2 linked regions of the Oryzias latipes genome follow. The protein of the gene in region 1 interacts with the protein of each later gene in a pairwise test. Links are inferred from orthologs where the notes say so. Each region holds a gene or a part of one and is shown on either strand. Other genes may lie near its edges.

Evidence for each region.
Region 2: the proteins of trim32 (region 1) and ptcd2 interact in binary tests that used the Homo sapiens proteins (3 or more experiments, as listed by UniProt). The two-hybrid records come from large-scale screens. The link is inferred for Oryzias latipes from reciprocal best matches to the Homo sapiens genes TRIM32 and PTCD2.

What each region holds. Positions count from the first base shown.
Region 1 is NC_019870.2:11,625,994-11,629,672, forward strand, and holds the end of trim32 (E3 ubiquitin-protein ligase TRIM32), read right to left. Parts: coding exon 2,924-3,679; 3' UTR 502-2,923; downstream 1-501. UniProt on the Homo sapiens protein: E3 ubiquitin ligase that plays a role in various biological processes including neural stem cell differentiation, innate immunity, inflammatory resonse and autophagy.
Region 2 is NC_019870.2:7,528,958-7,532,711, reverse strand, and holds the start of ptcd2 (pentatricopeptide repeat-containing protein 2, mitochondrial), read right to left. Parts: upstream 2,626-3,754; 5' UTR 2,621-2,625; coding exon 2,485-2,620; intron 852-2,484; coding exon 759-851; intron 682-758; coding exon 552-681; intron 438-551; coding exon 320-437; intron 232-319; coding exon 153-231; intron 81-152; coding exon 1-80. UniProt on the Homo sapiens protein: Involved in mitochondrial RNA maturation and mitochondrial respiratory chain function.

The DNA.
Region 1 (3,679 bases):
TTTCTTAATTACAGAAACTTTAAGTTGCGCTGAACATTATTCATTAAACAAAATAAACGTAGTGCATGGGCAACAGGGTTTTAATGTAGATTTTGTTGCCTACATCCTGTTGTGTACAATGTGTTGGCAATAGAAAACATTGGTAAACAGGAAAGCTGCTGCTTCAATTGTCGCCATTACCAAAAAACATAGGTATGCCATTTCGAGAAATACATCAAAATAAAATATGCATACAGTATCTTGTGCATATGCTTGTGTTTTCACAGTTACATTTCCTTTTACCTTTAAGATACATCAAAGGTTAGTGAAAATTCTAGTTTTCTATTATTCTTTAATGGTGGCACCAATGCTCCATCGGCCTATACAGTTAATGTGATTATAAAAGGTTTTCGGTTTGAAAAAAAAGAGAAAAGTTCACAATAAACAACAATTTCTCAGCATAAACATAAGAAATAAAGACTAAAATCTAATTTAGGCATGAGTGGAAAAACCAGGAGAGTATTTTTAATGTTTGGATCATAAATATTTATTGCACTCTGATGATCAACATTACAAACATGAAGTGGAGTACATGTGTTCAACATTTCTAACAGTGTTGTTTCTAAAGAACATAAAAAAAGACAAGAGTTTGGTTCATTGCAGAAGGAAAAAAAAAAAAACACCACCAGAGATCAGTAGTACGAGATGACATCTATGTCAAATTAAACAAATTCAGATTATGGTATGCGAGACACTTAAACGTTCACCACACTGACACAAGGACACTTGATTTAATGCAGCTTTCTCTCTTCATCTATTGTAATGACTGCATTTATAATTACTACTCTGATTATCAGATGGCATGTGGGGAATACTAAAAGTATACATGGTACAACCTAAATCAAATCTATGATCTAAAAGAAAAAGCACAGAGGAAATACCCATGGTGAGTTTGACACTTGAGCTTGTTTTTGAATTTCGCTTTACGTCTTTAAGCAGATTATACAACAACAAAAAAGAAATAAAGCTTTAGTCCATTTTTATACACGTCAGGCTCCAATACAGTTAAGGTCAGCTTGGTGTAAAGAAAAACCTACAATTAGAAAAAACATGTTAAAGATGAAACTGGGTCAGAAGAAAATAGAATCTGACTTCAATTAAGTTGTAATGTGATCTTTAAATTAATCAAAATGTTTATAGTTTTCTTTGCAAACTAATGAATATTAATGAACAACAAATTTCAAGTTGAACCCCAAAGCACTAGAAACCAAAATAGCTGTTTCAGATGAAAACTCCTAACTCAAACAAAATCTTAAAAAGAAATGTTATTCCTTTAAGTAATTTTGGAGTTTGAATATTCCTTAAGGTGACCATAAACTTTTTCCAACAGAAACTGGGATTTTCTTTAGGGATGGACACAGTAGCACACAACTACTTCCCGTTAAGGGGGAAAAAAACAGTAGTCATAAATGCAAAAGAGGTCTATGATTAAGCAGATTTGATGAAATACAGGCAGATTAGCCTATTCAGCTTAAACCAAAATTGACTTTTGAGCATAGACAGAAGAATAGAAGAATATCACATAAACAGGGCAGTGTTGGCATTAAATAACATCTCAATAGTGCACAAAGAACAAAAGCCCAGCGCAAAAGGAACTTAAACACGACCCCATTGTTGCTAATGACCCGTAAATAAAGGCATTGCAATAGAAATGGGCGTCTTATTGGTTAGGCAGATCCTTGTATTGTTCTCCATGTGTAATCATTTAGCATGGAAGACATGTTTAAGATGCAGCTGTGGTTGCTTTGAATGCTTGAGATCAGAAATAAACATGAACACAGAAACATCTTACTAAGTGTTGACTTTCAAATCACACAGATCATAAAATGCTTAAGGAAAAAAAAACATCACAAAAACTCTTAAAATGACTAAATGTATTAACTGTAGCTTTGAAGCATGTCTATACATTATTTTTAAATGTGCTCATCACTATAATAAAAGGGCTAAAGTCTATTTTTTATTTCTATTGATAAGGCAGTAATTTATTTGTGTTGATCTCTTAGGCAGAACACTGCTCCATGGCAAAAAAAAGTATACATTTATAGACTGGTATATGATATTCCTAATATAATTCCTAAGCATAACAGTAAAAAAAACAAACTGAAAATAATGTATAAAAGTTGAAATAGCCTCAGAGTTAGCTTTTTCAAACAAAACATTTTCTTCCTCTAACTTTGCATGCTGCAATGCAAAATATAAATCCATGTAAATTCCTAAGGTTTGGATTTTGCAGGACCTTTTTTCTTTTATTTTCCTGAAGCAAATTGGTAGTTATTGTTCCCTGACTGTTGCTGGTATCTGGTTTCATACTGCCTTTAGATCAATTGCACAAAACTTTAAAAGCCACAGACTGAGTGTGCTACTAGACCCTAATGCTATAGGACACAGTGAGGTGTCGGTAATAAAGTGCTTCATCGGGCAAATGCCTGAATATGCTTTATTTTATACATAAGTACAAGTTTAATTTGAGCTTCTCTTCCAGGGGTTTTGTGCAAAGCTACAAACAAAACCAAAAAATCCCATGAAGGGTTCAACTGATAGTCGGGCTAAAAAAATGGAAATGTGGCATCAAATAGCAGAGGAAAGGAGTTTTCTCTGCACCTTGAAAAGCCTTTGACAGCAGCAGCAGCATCCTTTGCTTGTAGTGCGTTTGATCTAAACATGCACTGGAAATGCAAAGGATTTGGTGCAATACTATATATACTTTACAACTGAAATGAAAAAAAAGCAACCTTAGAATTTTGAAAATGTCTTGATTTTCTAAACCCATTTTCAAACTGAAGCTAGATTAAAATATGTTTAATTTGAAGGTTATTTGTTTTTGTTTCTTCTTTCAATACAGACTTCCTCCTTTCATTACCAAGTTAGGAATCTGTCAGTTGTTTTAGGAAGTGGAAGAATGCCTCCTTTGAATGTAGGTAAAGACTTTGACACAGTGGTCCCAACAATCCAGGACGAGCAACTGTCCTTTGTGAGTGGTGGCCACGCCCACAGGGCAGGTCAGCCCGTCCTGGATGAGAACATTGAATCCACCTTCTTTGGGGAACTGCAGGATTTCTTTTCTCCCGCTGTCTGTAACAAGCAGATCCCCGTTGGCATCCACACACATTCCAGTGATGCACCGAAAGTCTTCTGCCTCAGAAAAGAAATGGCTGAGCTGTTTGCCGAGCTGGCCGTCCGTGCCAACTGAACCAATCGAGAAGCCCCCCTCCAGGTGGGGCTCATTCTGACGCTTCTCGAAGTTCAGAGCCAGGCCCTGAGTAAAATAAACTGTTCCTGCTGCATCGCATGTGACAAACTTGGGGCGGACAGCAGAGCACAGTCGGTTGTAGCTGACCACGCCCACGTTGCGGTCCACTGCAAGACACCATAACTTTCCCCCCTCCACGTCTGACACTACAAACTGGCCCGATGGCATGGCTGTGATCCCCCAGGGCTTTATCAACTGGTTCTTGTGGCAAGCAATGCAGTGCCCATCCATAGTGTACACTTTGACAGAGTTGTCGTAGTTATCGGTGACACCAATCAGGCCTTGTGGGGTCACGGCGATTGATAGGGGGACCAAGTTAGGCAAGTCAGCCCCGAGGAAACTCAGGACGAAGTTGTCGATGCTGCTGGCATTCCGTCGGATTTCGCGCTG
Region 2 (3,754 bases), about 4.1 Mb from region 1:
GGTCCCAGCTGCAAGAGTTAAAGTGTCTTTGTTGAATTGTAAGCCTTGGCTCCTCATGCTTTTTAGCACCTCAAGAGCTCCTATAAAAATCAGAATTTGACATAAATAGACATGCACCAACACCTGGAAACACCAGATTATGTGTGACTTACTTTCATACAAGCCTTTAATGAATAACATGTCTATAGCAATGTTAAAAGAGGTTGTGTCGAGGAAAAATCCTTTCAGATTCTGAAACGAGAGCAAGCTTTCAGTCCAAAACCGTTTATATTTCACATAAACATGTGGAACTTTTGGGGCTTTGATGACTCATGTTCACCTTATCTGTAAGAGCTGAAGCAGCCATTTCTTCCAGGCCGAACTCGTAGCAAAGTCTCATGAAAAGAGGACCAAACTTAAAGTCTCCGTACATCAAGTTCCGATTTTCTGCATAGTATCTTTGGAAAAAAGATCAGATGTTAACAGTCCAGATTTCTGACAGGTAATAAAACAAAAAAAAAAACAAAAAAACGTTTGCATGATCTGTTGATGTAGAATTGTGTGCAGTGTACCTATAAATGGCATCTCTGGCTACCACCATGTCATCTAAAGACTGGCACAGGTGAAGGAGGAGCTTCAGTTCATCCCGCAGAACCAGCTCATTTCTCTGCATTTTCTGTCTGAACAGCTCGATAAAATTACCTGTGAAATTAGGTTTGAAGGTAAGTTTGTTGAAGGAAAACTGCAACTGATCAGCAATGAGAAATAAAGCTTCTCACCTTCTGTTCCAGAGACGAGATGAGCCACAGCCAGCTTCCTCTGCTGGAAGTCCTGCAGTTTGACAATATCTTCCGACAGCAAATGTCTCTTAGCTACAGAAAAACACATGAAATGAAGGAAATGTAGGTCAAATGATGTCTTAAAAAATAAAATTCAAACTGGGAATGGTCACTTTTATACACCCCACATTTAGCATTAGGTGATTTTTCCACCCCCCCAAGATCTTAAATGGCATTTTACAGCATTTGTTTTAAAAATGATCTTAGTAAATAGATACAATTAGATTAGATTAGATAAAACTTTGATCGCACAGTGGAGAAATTGCTTTGTTACCATACCATTACCAAAAAATAAAAAGAACAGACAACATAATAAATAGGAGCAAAAATGCAATAAATAAGAACAATAATATTACTAACAACAAATTATAGCCTTGAATGAGCTAAACTAAAAAAGAACACTGACTTCCTGTTTGAAGCTGATTTAAAAAAAAAAACAGGGTTCCTCACATAAATCCTAGCAAGGTTGCTTTTATTCACAACAGAATCAACACACATCAACTTTTCTTCCAACTCTTCTTTTGTATTAGTCACATTTAACATTTATTATCTATGAAAAAGAGCAACATATTCTAATTTTCAAATATTGTTGAGCCTAAAAGAGGCTGTGAGCTTCTGATTGACAGGCGCACCCTCAATTATGTGAGGCTGTAGCAGTGAACTCTCAGTTCAAGTTGATGTTATTTCTCATGTTTTTGGTTAATTCATTGAGTCCAGTTCGAGTTTGTCTTTATTCTTATTTACATGAAGTGAGGTAGAACCTTTAGGATTAGGCTTCACCTTCTTTTGTCTCACTCATCACAATAAAACACTCCAGAGCAGAGTGACCTTCACTCAGCATCTGCAGGTCTTCTCGCTGGATGACTCTGATCTACAAAAACCCCCTTAAAAGGTCTCTTCTACAAAGGTCAAGAGGTCACGACGATCTTCGTTCCTCTGACTGACATTCATCATTTTCTTGTTTCTCGGGTCAGGACCAATATGGAGAAACAGGCTTCTGGTTTGGCTGCATCTTCTGCTCAGATGAAGCTGTATCATTTTATGTCTTAGTGCTTTATTTTTGAACATTAAACAAAATTCCACAGAGCCATTTGAACAGTGTTTGTGTTTCTAATTTGTTACTCTTCCATTTGTTGACTATTCAACCCCTAAACACTTGTTTTGTGTGTTATGCTCAAATGTGTTTCCTTTAACAGTTCTATTTTTTTAATTTGTGTTTTATTGTTTACATGTTTTGTTGTACCACGTCAACCACCAACTTCTTGGCCAGGTTGCCTTTAAAAAACAGATTTACAGCTCAGTGACTATATGTTTAGTCTTTGCCAAAGTCTAAAAGTAAAGTCTTGATTCAAAATTTTGAAGACACGTGACCTGCTGGTTTGGAACATGCGATCTTCTTTTTACCAAAAACCGAACAAAAACAAATGCTTTGAAAACAGCTAAATGTTTTAAAACACAGCACTTTTCCCACTTACAATTATTAGCAAAAAAACATAATTTGATTTCAGACAAAATACAGTTATTTAGCATACATTTTTCACAGAGTTATATTCAGTGAGTGTCCCCTGCACAGCACAGCTAGTTGTGCGCATGCTCTGAATGTTCTCTCTAGGATTTACATTTCTCTCCTGTTCACTCACACGATTCAGCATTTAGTTTTTCTTACCTACAACACAGCTTTGAATCCAGCCCGGAGCTAAAACTCCACGAAAACGTCCTTGAAAAGGCTCAAACAATAATGACCGACAATATTTGGCTGCCAGTCTCCCAACGAGCGCCATGTTGCCAAAGGACTGTACCATCGAGGCGAAACCCAGAGGGGTGTTGTGGCAAAATATGAATTAATTCAAAGTAATTTGTTCACCCCTTAAATCACATTCTTGAAGTATTAGAATAGCTTTTTAGTGGGCCCCTTAGTTTTTTAAACTAAATAAAGGACAATCTTGTTTGTTTTCGTATATTATAAGATCGCAGTTTTTGTTTTGGATCATCTAAACGGATTCACTACAAATATAATCCATCCAATTTAATTTATTTTCACATTTTTTAATTTTCATTATTTTTACTGCTGATATAAGTTTACGGCACAAGGTAACTCAAAAGCCTTGTTACTATTTGACCAGCAGAGGGCGATGTTGTGTAAAACAAACACTGGGAGTTTGCATTCACATTGCACTGTGATATAAGTACTTAAAACCCCAAATGAAAAAGGACAATTCAACCATTACAAGAAGTAAAATCAAAGTTTAATTTGGTTTTCTCTTGCTTCATTGTCATATAACATTGTGAGTTTGTTGTGAAAACATTTGTTTTTATTGGAATGCATGCATCATTCATTTTGTGATCCTTTTTATTGTGCACATGTTTTAATGATGTTTAACTCTGCAGATGAGAACAATCTCTTTAAAACGATTATTTCCTGTAAACATTCATGATAAATATTGAGACACAAAGAAAATGACATGGCTCAGGGAGGTTCCCCTTCAGTTACCCTAGCAACACAATCTCAGCCTCCTCCGCCAATCAGAAGCCAAACCCTAGATAATTTATGGTTTCCTGCAAGGTGCAAGAGGCTCTTGTTAAATTTTTCTCTCCTTCTACATTTGCATGTTTACAAGGATATTAAGGCCCCTGCACACTGATCATTTGTATTTCCACATCAGATCGGGACTTCGGTTTGCAACAGGTCATTTCGGGTTGCTCAAACCAACAGGAAGAAAAAAATCACAGTGATGTTTGCAGGGGAATTGCGTATCACACAGTCTCTGATTTGCTCTGACAAGCAGCCAGGTTGTGCAGACAGACTGGAGCTCTTACATCTTTTTTGATTTGTCCTCACATGCACTTCCCTTAGCTTTTGGAAAGCGCCCCGGGTGTCCCATGGTGATTAATAACTGTCGACACTGGAACAGTTTTAGAACAGAACTAAAACAGCT